Linked DNA regions of Pelodiscus sinensis. The protein of the gene in region 3 purifies or fractionates together with the protein of the main gene of each other region. This does not show direct contact. Links are inferred from orthologs where the notes say so. Each region holds a gene or a part of one and is shown on either strand. Other genes may lie near its edges.

The links.
Region 1: the proteins of DDX23 (region 3) and CD2 antigen cytoplasmic tail-binding protein 2 purify together in Homo sapiens (affinity purification with mass spectrometry; 6 studies listed by BioGRID and IntAct, counting the BioPlex papers as one, with this or other methods). This does not show direct contact. The link is inferred for Pelodiscus sinensis from reciprocal best matches to the Homo sapiens genes DDX23 and CD2BP2.
Region 2: the proteins of DDX23 (region 3) and AAR2 purify together in Homo sapiens (affinity purification with mass spectrometry; 3 studies listed by BioGRID and IntAct, counting the BioPlex papers as one, with this or other methods). This does not show direct contact. The link is inferred for Pelodiscus sinensis from reciprocal best matches to the Homo sapiens genes DDX23 and AAR2.

Annotation. Positions count from the first base shown.
Region 1 is NC_134714.1:134,633,118-134,640,982, reverse strand, and holds the start of CD2 antigen cytoplasmic tail-binding protein 2, read right to left. Parts: upstream 3,063-7,865; 5' UTR 2,887-3,062; intron 1,657-2,886; 5' UTR 1,643-1,656; coding exon 1,568-1,642; intron 1,266-1,567; coding exon 1,118-1,265; intron 1-1,117. Other genes in the region: sesquipedalian-1-like, read left to right, coding at 5,136-5,711. UniProt on the Homo sapiens protein: Involved in pre-mRNA splicing as component of the U5 snRNP complex that is involved in spliceosome assembly.
Region 2 is NC_134728.1:30,148,752-30,155,695, reverse strand, and holds the start of AAR2 (protein AAR2 homolog), read right to left. Parts: upstream 3,001-6,944; coding exon 2,178-3,000; intron 1-2,177. UniProt on the Homo sapiens protein: Component of the U5 snRNP complex that is required for spliceosome assembly and for pre-mRNA splicing.
Region 3 is NC_134729.1:5,091,285-5,098,377, forward strand, and holds the start of DDX23 (putative ATP-dependent RNA helicase DDX23), read left to right. Parts: upstream 1-4,015; 5' UTR 4,016-4,169; intron 4,170-6,336; coding exon 6,337-6,506; intron 6,507-6,591; coding exon 6,592-6,684; intron 6,685-7,093. Other genes in the region: RND1 (rho-related GTP-binding protein Rho6), read left to right, coding at 184-293, 1,117-1,251, 1,479-1,724. UniProt on the Homo sapiens protein: Involved in pre-mRNA splicing and its phosphorylated form (by SRPK2) is required for spliceosomal B complex formation.

The DNA.
Region 1 (7,865 bases), on a different chromosome or scaffold from region 3:
CACTCCCCGCCCGTCAGCCCCGCCACGCTCACCCCCTGCCCCCAGCCCCGCCACGCTCGCCCCCTACCCGTCAGCCCCGCCACGCTAACCCCCCGCCCGTCAGCCCCGCCACGCTCACCCCCTACCCGTCAGCCCCGCCACGCTCACCCCCTACCCCCAGCCCCGCCACGCTCACCCCCCGCCCGTCAGCCCCGCCACGCTCACCCCCTACCCCCAGCATGCCACGCTAACCCCCCGCCCGTCAGCCCCGCCACGCTCACCCCCCGCCCGTCAGCCCCACCACGCTCACCCCCTACCCGTCAGCCCCGCCACGCTCACCCCCTACCCCCAGCCCCGCCACGCTCACCCCCCGCCTGTCAGCCCCGCCACGCTCACCCCCTGCCCGTCAGCCCCGCCACGCTCACCCCCTGCCCGTCAGCCCCGCCATGCTCACCCCCTACCCCCAGCCCCGCCACGCTCACTCCCCGCCCGTCAGCCCCGCCACGCTCACCCCCCGCCCGTCAGCCCCACCACGCTCACCCTCTGCCCACCAGCCCCGCCACATTCACCCTCTGCCCACCAGCCCCGCCACGCTCACCCCCTGCCCACCAGCCCCGCCACGCTCACCCCCTGGCCACCTGTCATCCCCGCCATGGTCATCCCCCTACTCCTCAGCTCCTCCATCCACGGTTATCACCTGCCCAGTCATCAGCCCCGCCACAGTCACCTGCTGCCCACCAGCCCCGCCACAGTTTGCTCCCTCAACACTACCCCACCAGTTTCCCTGCCTCCTGCCCCTGCCTCTGGAGACCCTGTGACCTGTCAGTCCCACCACTGTCTTCCCCACTTCCTACCCCTGGGAGACCCCCCTGCCCATCAGACCTGCTGCCATTTCCCCAACTTCATTACTACCCTGTCTCCCCTGCTCTGCACAGCCCCAGATTGGTCTACCGAGGCAGGACCCCCCACTTCTCCCCACAGGAGCACTCTCCAGCCCCCATTCTCCCCTCCTTCCCCCCGGATCATACACTCACCCCTCACCTGCCTCCCATCCTTCCCTTCTTCCCACCCACTCCCCAGGGTCCCCCTCCCCAGATCTTTGCCCACTCAGCTTGGTCTCCCCTGCCGAGGGTCTCACCCTCCACGTCCTCCGATGCCAGGATGTCGTATTTACTGGCCCGGCCGTCATCGCCCTCCTCATCCTCGTCTTCCTCGTCGCTGTCCAAGGAGTGTTTGCCCTTGAAGCGGCTCCCGGGGCCGCTGGCCCCCAGGCCAGGCTCTGCCAGCTGGGGAGAGAGGGAGACTTAGATTCCCTTGGTCATCCCAAAACACAGCACCTTGATGCAACAGGCCCCCCACTCACCAGCATCATCCTGAGACACCCAGGAGAACCCTCAAATACCCCATGGTCACACCCTCTCCAGCGACCCCCTCCAACTCCCAACAGAGACCTGTACCCTTCACCAGGGTACCTCCAGAGACCTCTCTCACGTCCCCACCCGCACAACAGGCCTCCCCTTTGTATCCCTCCCCCATGCCTCACTGCCCCACAGAGATCCCTCCCCACATCCCTGCCCTCATAACTCACCTTCTTCTTGGGCATGGCCAGCTCCTCCTCGTCCCCCTCCACCTGGTCCTCAAATGTCACCTTGCGCTTGGGCATGGTGGCCCGATGCTCTGGGGAGGGAGGTGAGTAAGGAAGGGGGCGTCCGCCGCTGCAGCCCCACACGACGGGCCCCGCTGCCCCTAGCACCTGCAGCCCCACACGACGGGCCCCGCGGCCCCTAGCACCCGCAGCCCCACACGACGGGCCCCGCGGCCCCTAGCACCTGCAGCCCCACACGACGGGCCCCGCGGCCCCTAGCACCTGCAGCCCCACACGACGGGCCCGCGGCCCCTAGCACCTGCAGCCCCACACGACGGGCCCCGCGGCCCCTAGCACCTGCAGCCCCACACGACGGGCCCCGCGGCCCCAGGCACCTGCAGCCCCACACGACGGGCCCCGCTGCCCCTAGCACCCGCAGCCCCACACGACGGGCCCCGCGGCCCCAGGCACCCGCAGCCCCACACGACGGGCCCCGCGGCCCCTAGCACCCGCAGCCCCACACGACGGGCCCCGCGGCCCCTAGCACCCGCAGCCCCACACGACGGGCCCCGCTGCCCCTAGCACCCGCAGCCCCACACGACGGGCCCCGCGGCCCCTAGCACCCGCAGCCCCACACGACGGGCCCCGCTGCCCCTAGCACCCGCAGCCCCACACGACGGGCCCCGCGGCCCCAGGCACCCGCAGCCCCACACGACGGGCCCCGCGGCCCCAGGCACCTGCAGCCCCACACGACGGGCCCCGCGGCCCCAGGCACCTGCAGCCCCACACGACGGGCCCCGCGGCCCCAGGCACCTGCAGCCCCACACGACGGGCCCCGCGGCCCCAGGCACCTGCAGCCCCACAGGCCAATGACACGCCAGAGACCCGGCCTCAGGCGAGGCGCCACCGGAGCATCCTCTCTGCGCCAGGCTGCAAACCCGCCCCGGGCACAACGTGCATTTGCATATGCAAATGAGCCCCCCAGGCCCCGCCCCGCAGGGACACGGGCCCAAACTCCAGCCTCGCAGCTTCCCAATTTGCATATGCAAATGACTCGCTTCCACCGTGCTGGGCGGGCCCAAGCGCTCGGTTCAGCCCAGCCAAGGGCCCCCCTGTGATGCCTAATTTGCATATGCAAATAAGATGCAATAGTCCGGCCCGGGGGAAATGCGCAGTACGGGTCCTGCCGCCTCATTTGCATATGCAAATCAGCCCGTTCGGCTCGGGCCGGGCGCCCCGGTACCAGCGGGACCCCAAGACCCTCACAGCCCCTCATTTGCATATGCAGATCAGCGCCCCCATCGGCTGCGCCACTCACTCACCTCCGGGGCTCGCAGAGCGCCCTCGCGCGGCAGCCACTTCCGGGTCACTCTGCCCGGATGTGACGTCGCCGCAGGCCCTCGCCCCGCCTCTCGCGCCGGGTTGATCTCGTTCGGGCGAATAGCGCGATAGGTGACGTCACAATGGCACCTGAGCGAGGGCCCCCCATCGCGCAGGAGCCCAACGGCGGGTTGGCGGAGGGGCCGGAAGTGACGTTTTCTCCGGGCAGCCACCGCTAGCTGCGGCTTCATTGGCTGCCGTGCGGAGCGGGAGTCATGGCAACGCTTAAAGGGGCAGCAAGCGCCCCGCCCCCCCCCCCCCCAGCACCTCGGGTCTGACGGGACAGGCCCAGGGCATAGGCCCCTCCCCCTCCACGGGGCCACGCCCCCTGCGCCCCCCCCGGCAGGCGCACCGGCCCCCCCTGTTTTCCGGGGGGGGGGCAAGGGGCCCGGCCCCTCGTGTTTCACCGGGGGGGGGGGGCGAGTGGGGCCCTGCCCCCCCCCGCGAACCCGGGTCGCCTTAGGACCGAGCGGAGCCGGCCGCGCCCTGGCTGCCGCGAGACACTTCCGGGGGGCGGGGCCGGGAGGGAGCAGCCGCGCGGGCAGAGCCGGGCAGGAGCCAGGTAACGAGCCCGGGCGGGGAGCGGCCCCCCCCCTCCCCGAGCCCCCCCCCCCCCCGAGCTGAGCCCCCCCGCCCCCAGGCCCGGGCCCCGCCCCCCCCCCGAGCTAAGCCCCCCCGCCCCGAGCCCCGCCCCCCCGCGCTGAGCCCCCCGAGCCCCGCCCCCCCGCGCTGAGCCCTGTGCCCTGCCCTGGGCTCCCGTGCTGAGTCCCCCGCCCCGAACCCCCCGTCTCAGGCCCCGCCCCGAGCCCCGCCCCCCCTGAGCTGAGCCCCCCGCCCCGAGCCCCGCCCCCCCCCGCCCCGAGCCCCCCCCGCGCCGAGCCCCGAGCCCCCCAGGCCCGGGCCCCGCCCCCCCCGCCCCGAGCCCCGCCCCCCCGAGCTGAGCCCCGCCCTGGGCTCCCGTGCTGAGTCCCCCGCCCCGAACCCCCCGCCCTGCGCCCCGCCCCCCCCGACTTGCCCCGCCCCGAGCCCCCCTTGCTGAGCCTCCCGCCCTGGCCCCCTAGGCCCGGGCCCCGCCCTGCGCCCCGCTCCCCTTGCCCTGCCCTGGGCCCTCTGCGCTGGGCCCCCTGAGCCAGCCTTGCCCTGAACTCCGGGCCCCCAGCCCTGGGCCCCATGTCCCGTTCCCTGCCCTGGGGCTGGGGCCCTGCCCGGGAAAGGCCCCACGTCCCGTTCCCTGCCCTGGGGCCCCCTGCCCGGGAAAGGCCCCACATCCCGTTCCCTGCCCTGGGGCTGGGCCCCTGCCCGGGAAAGGCCCCATATCCCGTTCCCTGCCCTGGGGCTGGGGCTGGGGCTGGGCCCCCTGCCCGGGAAAGGCCCCACATCCCGTTCCCTGCCCTGGGGCTGGGCCCCTGCCCGGGAAAGGCCCCACATCCCGTTCCCTGCCCTGGGGCTGGGCCCCCTGCCCGGGAAAGGCCCCACATCCCGTTCCCTGCCCTGGGGCTGGGCCCCTGCCCGGGAAAGGCCCCACGTCCCGTTCCCTGCCCTGGGGCTGGGGCTGGGGCTGGGCCCCCTGCCCGGGAAAGGCCCCACGTCCCGTTCCCTGCCCTGGGGCTGGGCCCCTGCCCGGGAAAGGCCCCACGTCCCGTTCCCTGCCCTGGGGCCCTGCCCGGGAAAGGCCCCACGTCCCGTTCCCTGCCCTGGGGCTGGGCCCCTGCCCGGGAAAGGCCCCACGTCCCGTTCCCTGCCCTGGGGCCCTGCCCGGGAAAGGCCCCACGTCCCGTTCCCTGCCCTGGGGCTGGGCCCCTGCCCGGGAAAGGCCCCACGTCCCGTTCCCTGCCCTGGGGCCCTGCCCGGGAAAGGCCCCACGTCCCGTTCCCTGCCCTGGGGCTGGGCCCCTGCCCGGGAAAGGCCCCACGTCCCGTTCCCTGCCCTGGGGCCCTGCCCGGGAAAGGCCCCACGTCCCGTTCCCTGCCCTGGGGATGGGCCCCTGCCCGGGAAAGGCCCCATATCCCGTTCCCTGCCCTGGGGCTGGGGCCCTGCCCGGGAAAGGCCCCACGTCCCGTTCCCTGCCCTGGGGCTGGGCCCCTGCCCGGGAAAGGCCCCACGTCCCGTTCCCTGCCCTGGGGCTGGGGCCCTGCCCGGGAAAGGCCCCACGTCCTGTTCCCTGTCTCCCCTCTCTCAGGTCCCTGCCCACATGAAGTTGCATGAAACCGGCGTCCTGGGCTACTCCCGCGTGGCAGTGCCCCCCGACCGCCAGGGCCGGCTGTACAAGAAGAGCGAACGCAGCAGCACCTACCAGCGCCGCTGGTGCGAACTGCGAGGGAACTTGCTCTTCTACTGGGAGCGGCAGGGGGACCGGGAGCCGCTGGGGCTGATCCTGCTGGAGGGCTGCACGGTGGAGCTACAGGAATCCGCCACAGAGCCTTTCACCTTTGAAATCTCCTACCGGTCGGGCCACCGAGCTTACAAGATGGCTGCCGAAGACCAGGCCTCCATGGAGGGCTGGGTACGGGCTCTGAGCACGGCCAGCTTTGACTACCTGCGGGCTCTGGTGACTGAGCTAGAGGGACAGTACCGGGCCAATGGGGTTGCCCCGCCAAAGGAATGGGCTGTTCAGCACCGCCCAGTGGTGTCAGCGGTGGGATTGCCAGACTTTGAGGGGCTGCACCAGCAGTTTGGGAAGGAGATTGTGAAGCTGCGGGCGAAGTGGAAGGAGGCCAGGGCAGAAGGGACCCAGCCAACACAGGGAGACCTGATTGATTTGGGGTAGGACGGGAGCAGGGAAAGGAGAAGAGCCAGAGGGGGTAGGGGAGTCCTATTCCATGCCATCCAATGCAGGAGAAACATGCAGTGTGGGGGACCCAGGGTGGGCTAGCAGGGGCTGCAAGCTCAGCTCAAGGGACAGACAGAATGGGAAGGGGCCGTGTCTGGCTTGGATGGACTAGAAACCCTCCCCCCCGGGTTAAGGAGGCAGAGATGCTCCCTCTGCCTTGCGGTTCTTCGGGAAGTGGGGACCTTTCAAGGCCAAACCTTTGCACTGAGGCGATGCTTTTCCAATAATAAACGTGTTCTGTCGGGGCCTGGGCTCAGCCACGTGAATTCACTGTTTGGTCACCTCTGGCCAGCAGTGGGGGGCGCTGAGTGCAGGGGGCAGGGCAACGGCTGGGGCAGGGGAGCTCCTGGCTACTCCAGCGGGTGCTGTGCGGAACAAACGTCCTGCCTGCCCGGTGAGAGCTCCCCCCACTGCTGCACTGGGCTCAACTTGTGGGTCTGAGAAATCCCCATTCATTCAGCCAAAGGAGGCTCTCGGGCCACAGGGACAGGCAAAGCAGGAAACGCTCCATCAGGGCCCTGCCTGCGGCTCTGACCGCCTTCAACAACCGTTTCCTGCCCTAGGAGATCAGCCAGGCTCCTGCTGCCCTCACCCAACCTCCACTGGCGCAGCACACACCGTCCAGGCTTCGCCCCTCCAGCATGCAGAGCCTGGTCCCCCGTGGCCACTGCTCCGCCACTAACCCCAGTGAGCCGGGAATAGAGCCCAGGAGTCCTGGCTCTCACTAGCCTCAGAGTGGCCCTCAGGGAACTGAGGCTCATCTCAGGCCAGTGCCCCATACCCCCAAGACCAGAACCCAGTGGTGTGGATACTGGGGGTCTCCATTTCCAGGCAGGCTGCGTGATTCACCCTGTGGCGGGACAAGGGGGTGAGTCTGCAGAGACCCCCTAGCCCAGCCCGCCTCTACTAGCGTCTTGGGCCCAACCAACAGGCAGCCAGTGGTACCTGGCAACCGCTGAGCCTGCACTGGCAGGAAGCTGGCCCATTCTGACCCGCTGGAAAGCAAAGCTTGGGGCTGGGGCCCCTACCCCTGGGGCTGGGGCCCCTACCCCTGGGGCAGAGACCTAGGGGCTGGGGCTGGCTGGAACATCCTGCTTTCTACGCTGATCCAGACTGGCAGACGTCCCTGAAGGGAGCTCGCAGTGTGGAACGGGTGCTGACAGCTCTGAGGCAGGGCCCGCAGGGTGTACCCTAGGAGAGTGCCACACGAGGCAGCCTAGCCACGATCCACTCCGGGCTGCTCCAGAGCACAAAGCCTATTCATCTGGGACACCCTCACCCCTTTCAAGGGGCAGAGACCCCCCCCCCCCCAGACCAAGGACTCAAAGGCCCTCAACCCAGCGATCTTCAGAGACGCAGCACCCCAACCCATGTTCCCTCTCATCCCCCCGGGCGGAATAGGTGTTCTCTGCACTGAGACCTGTGAAACGTGCACCACCAGGAGAAGCAGGCTGCCGGCCATGGGTGCTCTGCTAATCCGCTGGGCAGCATCTGAAACCCTCCTGGGTGGCCTCCCACGCACCCAGCCACTGAGCAGCAAAGAGCCACGCTCCCCTCCCCGAGGGTTCTCAGATCTAAAGGCCAGTGGCCTTGGAAGAACAGCCCCCGACTGATGCTTCTCAGAGACCTGCAGCCCGGAGCCCCTGGAAGAGCCAGACTAGCCCCATAGTACTAGAGATGCAGCCGTGAGAGTCTGAAACACCAGCCAGGGCTGTGCGGCACTTTACAGACTAACAAGATGGTTTATTAGGTGACGCCTGCATCCTGCTTCAAAGACATTAACACCAGACTTGAAAGAGAAACCTCGGAACTGTCATTCATGCTTCAATTCGACACTTTACGCTGGGGTCTTAACAAAGACATTAATTATCTTACCCATTCCAAAGAGCTTCCCCAATTATCACCTCCAATAGCATTAGCTCACAGACATTTACCCCTCTCCCCCCCCCTCTGAAATTCGATTTGTCCTTTTTATGCGTGTTCACTTTGTTTTGGTTGTATCCCTTTGGGATATGTGGTCGTGCTTATTTTCTTCCACAATTTGATCTGAGGAAGTGGGTCTGGCCCACGAAAGCTCATCACCTAATAAAC
Region 2 (6,944 bases), on a different chromosome or scaffold from region 3:
ATGATATTATATGTGCAGAAGACAATGTGGTATTGCTATTACAGCAGCTTTGCTTTCCTAGACCTGGTCCATGTTTCAAAGTTAGGTGCCCTGGGTATGAAAAATCTACATAGTTGAGAGCTATAGATATACCATCCTAACCCCAGATTAGACTAAACTGATGGAAAAATTCCACTATCAGTACTCAAAGAGGTAGATTACCAACAGCAATGGAAAAAATTCCTTTCATCATTGTAGGTATCATCTAAACTACAGGACATCAACGCCATAGCCGGTACTATAGATGTGGCTTTATTTTGCCAGGCAGGATTCAGCATTACCAGATGTTTAGATATCCTTTTTATCACAACCGTTTCTGCATATGCTTTTCACAGAGCACTGGGAAATGTTTGTTAGCTGGGAAGGAAACTAGCTATTTTTATCTCTCAGAACATTTCAGAACAGAGTTCTGCTTTTTTAGGAGGTACATAGTTAACAGATAAAATGACAAGAACATGAGAAGCAAGCATCCAGGGTTTATCTTAAGGGTAACCGTGTCATCTCGGCTGGATTTCAGAGTTCTCAATAGAGTTGGCATTAACTTGTAACAGACGCTGCCATTATTTCCAACAGAGTTAGCAGCTAATTACAGCAATACTATTGAGGGCCACCAGCTGCTAATTTGTGATATGTCAGTAAATAATGCATGTCACATTCTTCTGTACAATGAATACAGTCTTTGTTCAAAGCTTTTCCTCACAATAATCTCCAAATCCTACCAGAAGGCGTCACCAGCAAAGCACAAGAGGTTTCGCCTTCCTAAGCTTGCTTCTTCCCTTTCAGCCTCTGCTGCTCTAGTATGGAGGGGAAGGGAAGGGAGGGGAGAGAAATGAATTTGTTCAAGATTTGCTTCTGCTTAGTTTTTTTAATGAAAAAATGGATAACAAATTAACAATAAATGGCTACAGTGCTGTAGGAGCCAAAGCCAACATACCAATTTCTGCATGTCACAGTGATGTCCTATTTGTAGCATTTTTCTATGTCTGGAATAACCCATTTTTTCTGTTCCTAAGCTGAACAATTATGTTGATACCCATCGTGCTGCAAGTAATGATTTCAATATACTCTTCCTGCACCATCCAGACTGTTCCCAGTAATCACCTTTTTCAATGAAAATAATATAAGGCTGGTGGCTTACTTCCTTTTAAAACGTATTTTTATGTAATTAGTTAATTGGCAGGTTGCCAGCAGAGGTGGAACCAGATAATGTGGGATGGAGGAGAAAACCCAGAGATGGATGTGAAAGGAATATTGGGGAAAAACTTAAAAAACAATGAGTTGGAGACTAAAAAAACCATGTACATGGGATGAAGCCACTTCTTCAAGACTCACATCGCAACACTGAGAGCTCATAGCCAACATTCCACATGCTGCTCTGAACATTCACGCATAGCAAATTGCTTGTAAAAGCACTTCTCACTTAAGAATCTCAAAATGCTGCACAACACATTAAGCCCCCAAACACCCTGTGAAACAGGCACTGTATTATCCTTATTTTATAGATGGATAACTGGAGGCACAGAGAGGCTAAATGACTTGCCAAAAGTCCAAATGCTAATTTATTGGCAAGAGTGGAACTAAGACCTAAGTGTTCTGATTCCTAATTCCATACTATAGTCCAGGACCATATGTGGGCCACGTGGCCCACAGCTCATTTGTTTGCGTCCTGTGGTGTGGTTGGGATTTATGCAGGGCTCAACACGCAGCCCATAGGTGGGAGCCAAAACAAAAAAGCAGTCAATATAATGGTCTTTTGTTGGTATGTGTTTTAGTAGTTAAATTTCTGGACTGTCATTGCTCATTTAAAGTGCTGTCATATGGGCAGAAATCGGGTAAATACTACATTTTATTAATATCAGCAGAACTGACTTAAATGGGGCCTGTGTGTTGTGTAGTCTTGCCTTAAGCTTTGTATTCATACCTGTCGGTGTGAAAGAAGCTATTTGCATATATATTTGCATGCATATGCAACCACAGTAAGTTGTGGCCCTTGGCATATGTTGAGTATCATTGTGGCCCCCGGGGCTTCCAAAGTTGAGTAGCCCTGCTATAGTCTATGATAGCTGGACACCCTCTTACTGATAAGCGTTTAAACTAGCTTGCAATGACTCAGTTTCTAGGACAGCCATTATACTCACCAAGCACATCTTGGGGTTGGCTGGAACACTGCTTGTTAATCACTGTTTCCAGAGCATAGCTAAGGTCCATGCTATGCCTAGTTATTTCCTCAGGAGTAGCACCATCAGGGTACATCTGCTTTGGCATTTCTGTGAACCGGATCTCAGTGCCAGCTTTCAGCTTCATTTTGGGCAGTCGGGCCAGGCCTTCTGCATAGCTCTTACATTCTGTGTCATATCGGGGCAGGTTCTGTTCAGCTCGGTCTTTGGTGTGCTTCCCAGCTAGAACTGGCAGAACTTCTGAAAAGGCACAGATCTGTCCACTCTCTGGCTGAAGCTTCTTCATCACTGGTTCACTGATGAAGTTAGTGAGAGAGATCCATTTCTTGAGGCTCTCATATGGGTATGGTCCAAGAAACTTGTCCATCTCCTGAAGATTTGACCTCATTATTTCAATCTCTTCTTCAGATGCTGGGGTGAGGTCCACCTCCTCATTGGATGAGTTCCAGTGCAGAACCCGCAAATCTCGCTGGTGCAGGCTTAAGAAGAAGCCAGTACGGGGGCCTGTTTCTTTAGTGTTGCACCGGTTGACAGAGCTATAGTGGAAGAAATGGATGCCTGGAGGAATCATCTTGACTCCACGGAACCTGGGGCCCACATGCCAAGTGTTGTAATCAATGCCAAACTCTGTCCCCTCAGGCATATTCAAAATGACAACTGTGGCACCTTCAAAAAACAGTCTCTTGGCCAGGTCTGGATCTATCTGCATCTCTGCCATCTTGTCTGCTGGTCTGGCTGTTGCGTCAGGCCTCTCTACCAAGAATCTAGGATAGGGCAAGCACATCACACTTGTATTATGTAAACACACAGATCCCTCCATCCAGGATAGTTTATGAAAACCTTTGCAAGTTAATATAGTCCAGTGCTGTACTTCTGGACCGTATGCTCACTGAAGAAGAGTGGTTTTGATAGCTGTGCCTTACGCAGTAAAGAAAACAGTTAGTACTTAACAAATAACAATACATAGGTGCCTCAGCACTAGGGATGTTAAAATAGTTGAATATGGTAATGGTGTATCTGCTAAAAGTCGGAGCGGTTACACGCTCTGGGGCTCTGCAATAGGGATGTAAGCAACTAATTGACTATCCAATAAGCAAAACCTTATCAGATAGTTGACACAGTAGTAAACTAGTCGTTTCCCTGCCACTTGCTGCCTCTATCAGAAAGAGGCAACAGGGTGAGAGAGAGGAGGTGGTGCTGGGGGGTACCGGCTCCCCCCAGCTCTGTGGGAGGAGGCAGGAGCACAGCAGCAGCATTCCACCTTTGACATGTACAAGAGCCCCCCACTTGCCCTGGTCTCCACATGGCGTTTCGATCTATTAAATGCACAAGAGCCCCTGCTGGGGATCTTGTACATGTCAAAGGCAGAATGCCACAAGCCACTTCCACCTTTGAAATGTAGCAACAGCCAGGCGGTCTAGCACTACATTTGAAAGTGGAAGAGCCCTTATTAACTAATCAAATAGTCGATGGAAATTCCATCCATTTTTTGATTAGTTGATTCATTTAATTTTCACATCCATACTGTGTTCAATTCTCCCCCCCCCCCCCCCCCCCACTATAGAAAGGATGTGGATACACTGGAGAGGGTCCAGCAGAGGGCAACCAAAATGATTGGGGGGCACATGACCTACGAGGAAAGACTGAGGGATTTGGGCTTATTTAGTCTGCACAAGAAAAGAGTGAGGGGGGATTTGATAGCAGCTTTCAACTTCCTGAAGGGAGGTTCCAAAAAGGATGGAGAGAGGCTGTTCTCAATAGTGACGGATGACAGAACAAGGAGCAATGGTCTCAAGTTGCATTGGGAGAGGTCTAGGTTGGATATTAGGAAAAACTATTTCACTAGGACGGGGTGAAGCATTGGGATGGGTTCCCTAGGGAGGGGTGGAATCTCCATCCCTAGAGGTTTTTAAGCACCGGCTTGACAAAGTCCTGGCTGGGATGATTTAGTTGGAATTGGTCCTGCTTTGGGCAGGCAGCTGGACTCTGGACTCGATGACCTCCTGAGAGCTCTTCCTGCCCTATGATTCTATAATACTCTGCAGCATAAAGCTTAACTTTATACTAGGTTGCAAAAGTGTGACCGTATACATGGTTAACTGATGAGCCTGGGCTTATCACTTAACCTTCACGGTTACATGCATGCTCCTGGTATACATGTAACCTGGTATACATGTAACAGTGCAACCGCTTAAAAGCCAGCTCCCGGGGAGCCACCTTTCCCCCTCTCTCCCCCACGCTGCTGCCTCTATATCACATGCAGCAATATAGGGTGGGCAGGCAGCAGCCATTGCATACAGGGAGCCAGATTAAAAGACGGTTCCCCATGCACACCAGCTCCTTGGGAGCTGCCTGCCCTCCTCCCCCACATTTATCAGCTGAAATTTTCAGTGGTTACATGTTTACTTGATTAAATGCATTTTTACATCTCTACTTTATACTGGATAGCCCACAGTGAAGCCTCCTCCGGAGCAAGGCCACCAGCAGCAGCGAAGCCTCCTCCCCAGGAATGGGGCCAGAAGCCTTTGCCTGTCTGGCTCCTGGGGAGCAGGCTTTGCTACCCTGTCACAGCAAAGCCACCTCCCTCGGAGTCAGCTGAGTGTAACTGGAACCATTAACCAAAAAGCACCAGCTTATCAGTCAATGGTTATTCAGCTACACTCTAACATCCCTATTTCAAACCCGATATGCAGTCTTCTCACTGCAGTCTGTAATCTGAAAGCACCACCTCACGGCACTCGCACTAGCCAAGAGGAGAAGAGATAAAGCTATAGCAGTACAATGATATTCGGCAGCTAGAAAAAAATCCATCTTAAAATCTTACCAATGAAAACATAAACTCTAGTCACAGCAATTCCCTGTCTAGTCCTTCCAGTAAGGATAATGGGAAAAATCACAGACTACAGCTCTGACACACACCTCTCACCATAGTCTGTTAGTAAGCGAGAGAAGATTTTACAAGGTGTATTTATAAACACACTCAGCGGAGCCTCCTCCTCAGGCTTCCCCTTGCCAGGAATAGTCTCCCAGAACCCCAGTCTCCCCGCCCAGGTATAACCACAGTCCCCTGGACCCCCAGTCTGCCCCCAACACACCAGTGGTATGTAGACAGCTACTTGCTCCCTTGCAGCTTTCTACACATACCACCAGCTCCCATAGCCCCGTATAACCCGGCCCAGACCCACGGTCTGCGCCCCCCAAACCAGCTCCCATAGCCCCGTATAACCCGGCCCAGACCCACGGTCTGCGCCCCCCAAACCAGCTCCCACAGGCCCGGCCCCGTGTAACACTCCCCCCCCCCCGCGGTCTGCCCCTCCGCTCTCCCTCTCTAGACCCTCAGGCCCGTCTGCCGCCGACCCCCGTCGCCCACCCAGGGCCCCCGAGCCGGGCGGCTGCCGCCCCCACCGCTCACCAGGGCGCCGCTCCGCACCTCACAACCCCCGCCGGAGCGCGCGGCGGACCGGAACCGCGGCGACTTCCGCCAGCCCCGCGAGTCCCCCCCGGAAAGCGGCCCGGGCAGCCCCACTGCCCCGGCACGAAGGGCCCGGCGAGCCAGGGAAACCCCTCCCCCTTCCCCAGCCGGGAGCGGAAGTTCTCAGGCTCCCGGCGCGAGCCCTGAGGTCTGGCTCTGCCTGCCCCGCGCCTGGCCCCTCCCCGCGCCCCCATGAGCCGGGGGGGGGGGGCAATGGGGGAACGTTGTATAGCCCAGGCCGCCCGCCTCCTCCTGCCTTTTGAACGGCAGAGCCAGCAGGGGGGGCCAGTCAGGGCTGCCTGACACAGACAGGGCTCTGGGAACCTGCTTCTAAGCCAGCTCCCTCCAGCACCGGCTCCTGCCTCGCCCCGCGGCCTGCCTCTGATACAGCGGGGCTGTGTCTACACTGGGCCACTTATTCCGGAAAATCAGCCGCTTTTCCGGACTAAGCTGCAAGCTGTCTACACTGGCCCTTGAATTTCCAGAAAAGCAACGATGCTCTACTGTACAAAATCAGCCGCTATTTCGGAAAAACTATTCTGCTCCCGCTCGTGCATAAGTCCTTATTCCGGAACACTGTTCCGGAAAAGGGCCAGTGTAGACAGCTCAGTAGTCTTTTCCAGAAAAAAGCCCCAATCGTGAAAATGGCGATCGGGGCTCTTTTCCGGAAAAGCGCATCTACATTGGCCACAGACGCTTTTCCGGAAAAAGGGCTTTTCCAGAAAAGCAACCTGCCAATGTAGACGCTCCTTTTCCGGAAAAACTGAAAACAGAGTAGTATTCCGTTTTAAGCATTTCCGGAAATTCATGCCAGTGTAGACACAGCCAGGCAGCAAGGGGGAGGGGAGAACGCGAGTAGTCACTCGACTAATCGACAACCCTTTGACATCCCGACTGGTCTGAGGTAATCTGGACCAAGCACCGAGGACGTAGGAAAGTTGGTTTGCAAATATGGGAACACATGATCTCTGTAATCCTGGCAACCCATCCAAAGACGGGTTTCGCACCTATGGCTGTGTAGATGGAGCAAGCATTGATGCAGAAGGAGAAGGTCTACCTTTGTAATCTCTACTTTTCTTTCTGTGCAGGTACTGATAAGCAGGGCAGAGTAACAGTTGGTCTGTTGTGGGTGGAAGTATGTTCTAGATGCCACTGGAATGTATATCGCAGAGCACTTTAGATTTGCCCTAGAGATAGTCAGGCAATGGATCTTGGAGTCAGTTTGCTCCAAAAGCATCAGACTTGGCCAACTGCAT
Region 3 (7,093 bases):
ACCCAGTGGGGCTCAGTCAGCGCCACATGTGGGGGCTGAGGATGCTTAACCTGGGCCCCCAAGCAGTGCCCCCTGCCTGCGAGGATCCTGCTTCCCCACCGGACATGGGTGCTGGCGGAGCCTTGATTTCCAGCAGCTCCCCTGGTTCATGGGGCTCACCTGTGGCCTGCCCCCTTCTCGCAGGGTCCCCGTACTACGACAATGTGCGTCCTCTCTGCTACAGCGACTCTGATGCCGTCCTGCTCTGCTTTGATGTGGGCCGCCCTGAGACCATGGACAGTGCCCTGAAGAAGGTGAGGGGGGGCCCATGGCACATCTGAGCACTCATGTGGAGCAGGGGGCCCTGGGGCAGTTGGCCCCAGACAGAGATGAGGTGGTGTGCTTCCAGCCAGCAGTGACAAGAGCTGGTGGCAACCCTGGGGTGTTCTAAGGGCCCTGCCCCCCAGCTCTCCGCACTCGCATCCAGCAGGCCTTCCCCAGGGGTCTGACCGCAGGGGTGAGGTATTTCATACTGGGAAGGCCAAGCCCCTCTCATGGGGAGCCAAACACTCCTGTGCCCCCAGAGCCGTTCTATAGCTGGAGGCTAAACCCTGGGGGTGACCCCTAAATTTCCTTCTCCCAAGACTCTCTGCTTGGCTTAAACATGGGGGGGAGCTTCCTCTGCCCCACTGCCTGAGAGTAGCACCCCCGTCGCTGCCTGTGCTGTTCCTGTGGGCACCAGCTGTTTCTTCCCGGAGATGGGGGTGACCCTGGGGTTCAAACATGGGGTTGGGAGGGGAATGTTTCTTTAACCCCCTTTGCCAGGGCTCAGACCTGGGGTCACTGCCCAGAACGACCCGCCCACAAGCCACTCTCAGCTAGTCCTGGGGTGAGGTGGCTTGGACTGGGGTGATCGCTGCAGGATCCAGTGGTGGGGTGAGGTTCCCGACTGGGCTGAGCTGTGTTGTCACCAGGGTAGCGCTGTGGGGCCCACGCCCTTCCTGTGGCTGGGACCCAGAGATAGTGCAAGGGCTGGGCTGCTGATAGTCCTGTGGGCTGCAGCTGAGTCAGGCCAGGGGATTTAAGCCTGGTGACTCCAGCTCCAGGGCCTGATTCACTTGGGGTTTCTCCATGCAGTGGAAGACAGAAATTCTGGACTATTGTCCCAGCACCCGGGTCCTGCTGATTGGCTGCAAGACAGATCTGCGGACTGACTTGAGCACCCTAATGGAGCTGTCCCACCAAAAGCAGGCGCCCGTCTCCTATGAGCAGGTGAGTGGGCTCAGCTCGTCCCCCATCGGCCAGGACTGCTCCTAAAAGGGGGGTGCCCAGGCTCCAGTTCAGATCCCAACCCAGAGGGGCTGGCTTTCTGGTTCCAGCATGGCTGGAGCTCTGCACCAGAAGCTTGGCTTAGTGCCACAGCCCCAAACCTACCTGGCCAGCAGCTTCCAAGCTCTGTCTGGCTCTGTCTGATGGCTCTTTCCTTGGCTGGCTTACAGGGCTGTGCTGTGGCCAAGCAGCTGGGAGCAGAGAGCTACCTGGAGTGCTCCGCCTTCACATCGGAGAAGAGTGTGCACAGCATCTTCCGGACAGCATCTGCCATCTGCCTGAGCAAGGCCGGCCCCCCGGCTCCCAAGAGTCCCGGGCGCAGCCTCTCCAAGAGACTCCTGCACCTGTCCAGCCGCTCCGAACTCCTGTCTTCCACCTTCAAGAAGGAGAAGGCTAAAAGCTGCTCCATCATGTGAAGGGGCCTGGCCCCGGGGCAGGGACGGACAGACCAAACCCCAACTCTGGCCTCTGGATGTTCTCGAGCCGATGCTATGGGGGAGGGGTGGGGGGCTGCCTGGTGGCCCAGGCCAGATGGGGCGGTGACACCTCAGCCTGCAGAGAGGCCTCTAGTTCCCGACTGGCCTAAGCAGCCCCAGGATTGGCCCTTCACCATCCCAGTGCTTCCCACGCTGACTCAGCACGCGTTCTCCGAGGAAGAGAGAGTCGGGTGATGAGCGCCCCGGGGCGTCTCGATGCAGAAGGACCTTGGCAAGCAGCTGCTCTTGACACGTGCCCCCCCCCCCCCCTTGGAGCAGGGGGGAGGGGGAAATCCATCCATTTCTTTGAATGCCCACTCGGTGTCTGGCTGTGACGCATCCCCTTCATCTGCTGCTTGTCTCTGGAGCCGGCTGCTTCTAGGCTCACGTTACCCGCTTCCCGCGCGGGGGCGGCTCCACCTTTGCCTCTGGGGGGGCAGGAGGCAACTGGTTTATAGACTTTGGGGGGGCAACTCGTCAGTGTTCAGTGTTATTAAAAAGCTTATTTATTATGGAAAATACACTGGCTCAGCCGTCAGCGGCAAGGGCGCCTCCTGTGTCTGTCAAAACACCTTCCCCCTTCCACCACTGCAATGCCAACCGTCTTCCCCGACAGGGTCACTAAGGCGCCTGTGGGCAGGGACTTGCCCCAGCTATGTGCAGACTGACCAAGCTGGGAACAAGCCTGGGAGCCAGGACTCCTGCTAACCACTGGTCCTAGCTGTGGGTATCCACAGGGCTCTTGCCCCTCCCTTCAGCCACATCACCTCCAGCAGGGCTACTGTGGGTGTGGAGGTGACGCCAGCTCCTGTCTCTGTCTGGTTGAGTGAGCGTCCGGTGGGCCACTCAGCCCTGGAGCAAGTGAGTCACTGTCCTAGCAGTGTGAGTCTTAGGGCAAAGTCTGGCCAGCGGAGGCAGGGCCAGATTCCTGGTGCTCTGTGTTGGGTGCAGCACCCCCGTGTGGCAGAAACAAGAGGGGACTTGGCTTTGAGGAAGGACAGGAGCTTAGTTATGGCTGCACACAGACCCCCTGCTTCATGCTCTGCCCAGGGGAAGGGGCTGGTGAGGGCTGGGATGAATTTCAATAGATAGAGCCTATTTCTGGCTGTAGTGAAACAGTTGCTGCCCCTTTGCCCTCTTACCTGCATGGTGGTCCCTGGGCCGGTCCCTGCCAGGACAGCAGGGCCGATCCCTGCCAGGACAGCAGGGCTCTCTCCTGAGACTGGTGGAACTCAACTCTGCTAGGGTGCAGAGAGAGGCAAGGGGATGTGATCACAGTATAAGGACCCTTCAGGCCACAGTGACTATGGGGTTCTGGTCCAGGCAGTGGGGTTGGTGTCTAGGGCCAGCCTGGCCCTGTAACTCACAGCAGCTCCTTCTGCTGTGGCAGACAGTCGGGAGGGAGGTGGTTTGGTTACAGCTGTCCTTCTCTCTCCTCCCCTGCCCCCTCTTCAGCCCAGCCCCTTCTTCACAGCAATCAGTGGGGCCATGAGCTTGGCCGGGCCAGCCCCAGGAAGTCTCCCATTGCCCCTGAAGCTGTGACTGCAGTGGTTCTAACATATTGGGGGGACGAGGGGGGCTCTTCAGACTGGCCCCAGAGGGCTCCCTGTCCTGGAGATTCTGAGCCACCGGCTCACAGCGGGCCAATAGCCCCGTGGGCTGACACTCTCCCTTGGAAATGTTGGGCTGCAGAACCAGCTGGCTCAAGAGAGCTGGAAGCCCTGGGTGTTAAGCTAGTGAGATCCTGGTGAATGAAGTGGAGGAGTCTACCCTGGCTCTGGCTGCCGGGTTGAGGAGCGTCCCCAGGGGCCGTGCTGCTGGTGGGGAGAGGAGGAGCAGGCTTGGTGTCTTCTGCGGAGCCCAGCTGCATGGGAACCCAATGCACAGAGGCTGGATGGGTGGGGGCAGGGCTGGGTGCACAGGAGGAACTGGAGCAGGGGCGGTGAGGCCAGAGGGCGGTGTTGGGGGGGGGGGGAGAGGGAGAAAGAAGCAGCAGTGAGGCCAGGGCCAGTGATAATGAGGGTGGGGGTACAGGCAGGAATGGGGGGAGGAGGAAGGGCAGTGATGGGATTGGTGCTGGTGCAGCAGGGCAGGCTGCTGCCAGCAGTTGGGGGGGGCGGTGGCAGGGCGCGCTGGGGCAGCAGGGGGCGCTGTTTCGGACTCAGCGCCGGGAGCGACCTTCCCTAGGATGCCGGCGGCGAGCCGCGCGGTGCCTGCTGGGAGCGGTAGTTGCTGCGCTGCGGACGCGGTCGCCGCCGGCCGCCCAAGCCGGCCTCGCTTTCCCGGCATGCCGCGCGGCGTTGCGACAGTGTCGCGCGGGGGCCTGTCGTAAGATGGCGGCTGCTGCGCAGGGGCTGTGAGGCCTAGTAGGAGGCGCGGCGCGGGGTGAGTGCGGCGCTGTGGGGCCCCGGAGCGCTCTCGGGGGGAGGGGAGCCCGGCTCTCGGGGCAGCCGGTCCTGCTGCTCCTGGGGGCAGGGGCTCGAACCCGCCGCCCTGCGCCCCGCAAGCCACAGCCGGAGCCCGGGCCCTGTTGTGTCGGGGGGGGGGGCAGAGCCTGGGCCCCCTGGGGTCTCGGGGGGGGGGGCAGAGCCTGGGCCCTGGGGTCTCGGGGGGGGGGGGGCAGAGCCTGGGCCCTGGGGTCTCGGGGGGGGGGGGCAGAGCCTGGGCCCTGGGGTCTCGGGGGGGGGGGCAGAGCCCGGATCTCTGGGGTCTCTGGGGGGGGGGCAGAGCCCGGATCCCTGGGGTCTCTGGGGGGGGGCAGAGCCCGGATCTCTGGGGTCTCTGGGGGGGGGGCAGAGCCCGGATCCCTGGGGTCTCTGGGGGGGGGGCAGAGCCCGGACCCCTGGGGTCTCTGGGGGGGGGGCAGAGCCCGGATCCCTGGGGTCTCGGGGGGGGGCAGAGCCCGGATCCCTGGGGTCTCGGGGGGGGCAGAGCCCGGATCTCTGGGATCTCTGGGGGGGGCAGAGCCCGGATCCCTGGGATCTCTGGGGGGGGGGCAGAGCCCGGATCCCTGGGGTCTCGGGGGGGGCAGAGCCCGGATCTCTGGGTTCTCGGGGGAGGGAGGGGCAGAGCACGGACCTCTGGGCAGTCTCGTGGGGTCAGGACAATGTTCCCTCTAATTCCTTCCATCCATGTGCAGAATACATTTTGCGTGCCCTGAGGCATGTGTGAATGTGCACCACCAGTAGGAACAAAAACCTAGCTGGGGGCGCTCTGCTAATCATCTGGGTGGCATCTGAATGTCTCCTGAGCAGCCGCACAAGCGCCCAGCTTAGAGGGAATAGTCTGGGATGCGGAGGAAGCCCCCTCTGCTGGGTTCTCTCGCATGGTTGGGGAAGAGGCGGAAGGGAGTCTGGGAAAAGCCCTGCAAATCCACAGATATCTGTGGGTGTCCCCACACGCGGATGTGGATGTGTGTATCTACGGCTCATTTGCGTGGATGTGGTTGCAAATGTTGGATCTATAACACTGCATATATTCTGGTCATCTGTGGATGACCCTTTTATACCCACAGGTCCTGCTTGGATACCGCTGCTAGGGATGTAAATATACAAAGTGAACTGGTTAAACGATTTAATTGTAATCAATGAACCGGTTAACTGTATTGCTGGGGTCTGGCCATCCTGCTGTGGGGGGGGCTCTGCCCTCTGTGTGCGGGTGGGGGACTGCTCTGGCCAGCCTGCTGGGGTTGCGCTGTGCTGTAGATGAGGAATTGCTCCAGTTGGCCAGCTGTGGTCACGCCACGCTGTGGACTGCTGTGGCCATCCACTTGGGGTCGCACTGTGGGCGAGGGACTGCTTCAGCCAGCCCACTGGGGTTATGTCACGCTACGGGTTGGGGACTGCTTTGTGTTGTGCTGCGGGACTGCTCCAGCCAGCCCACTAGGGTCAGGCCACGTCACAGGTGGGGGGGCTGGTCCAGCCGGTCAGCTGGGGTCGTGCCATGGGCGGGGGACCACTCTGGCCCACGGGTTCCTGTCAGCCGGGCCACAGCAGATGGGGGACTGCTTCTTCCCCCCCCCCTCCGTTTAACCAGTTATCTGGTGAGCATGCTAGTATGGCTAATGCTTACAGGTAACCTTTTACGTCCTTAATGGATGCGGATATCCGCAGCTCACTTTTGCAGATACAGATGCAGGTACAGAACTTTGTGTCTGTGCAGGGGTCTATTCCTTGGTTCTTTCGTGGAGTTGCGGGGGAAGTGGACTCCTGGATTCTCTCCCAGGGTTAGGGTCATGGGTTTACTGTGGTAACCCTGTATTAAAAAGGGTGTATGTCCTGTGAACTGCCCAGACACCCCTGCTGCACCAAGGCCAAAATAGGGAATCACCCTCTTCCCTTCCCCTCTGCCCTTGGGCCAATTCTGGATGGGAGTCAGCGCCCCCCAGAGGGGAAGATCCTCATTCTCTGCTCTCCCCAAGCCAGCCCGCACCTAATGATGTGTCCCGTGTATTTTTTTTTGGGGGGGGGGGGCAGTGCCAAGCTAATGGAAGCTCAGTTCCCCTCTCACACCCTCCACACCCCCATTAACAGCCTCTTACTGCCCTGCACAGATGGCTGGTGACGTGCCCGACAAGAAGGAGCGGGACTTGTCACCCCCCAAGGAGGAGAGGAAACGTGCGAGCTCCCTGGACAGGGACCGTGACAGGAAGCGACACAGGTCTCGGGAGAGGAGGCGGGGCAGCCGATCAAGATCCCGCTCCCGTTCCAAGTCAGCTGAGAGGTAGCAGCCTCCAGGCCTAGGGGTGGGGGGCCGTGTGGTTGGCTCTGACAGGCTGGTAACTGATCCCCCGGCTCTACCCTTGTAGGGAGCGGAGACAAAAAGAGCGTGAGCGGAATAAGAAGGATCGCGAGAGGGAGAAAGATGGGCACCGGCGGGACAAGGACAGGAAACGCTCCAGGTAAAACCTTGCACCCCCACCTCTGCCAGTGCGTACAGTGTTATGGGAGAGTTTCTGGGAATGCAACCACTTCTGGGGTGCAGCATGAGACATCCGCACTGCACTGGCACCCGTTTGTCAGGTTAAGACTGGAAATGAGCGGGGTCTGGCCGGGCTGGAGATTTCAGGGAGCAGAATGTCCTTGGCCAAGGTGTGATGTTGGGGTCTTGCCACCACCCTGTGGAGCCGATAACGATGGCGAGGGGCAGGGCCCTGGTTCCCCTTCTCCTCCAGGAGATGTCGGCTCCAGCAGGCAGCGCCTCCTGCCCAGTAGTCGCTGAGCCAGCAGCCCCTCTTCCTGCTGTATCTCGGCTTTGCCTGGGGTGGCTTGCGCTTAACAGCCAGAACCTGCTTCGCCGAGACCCCAGCC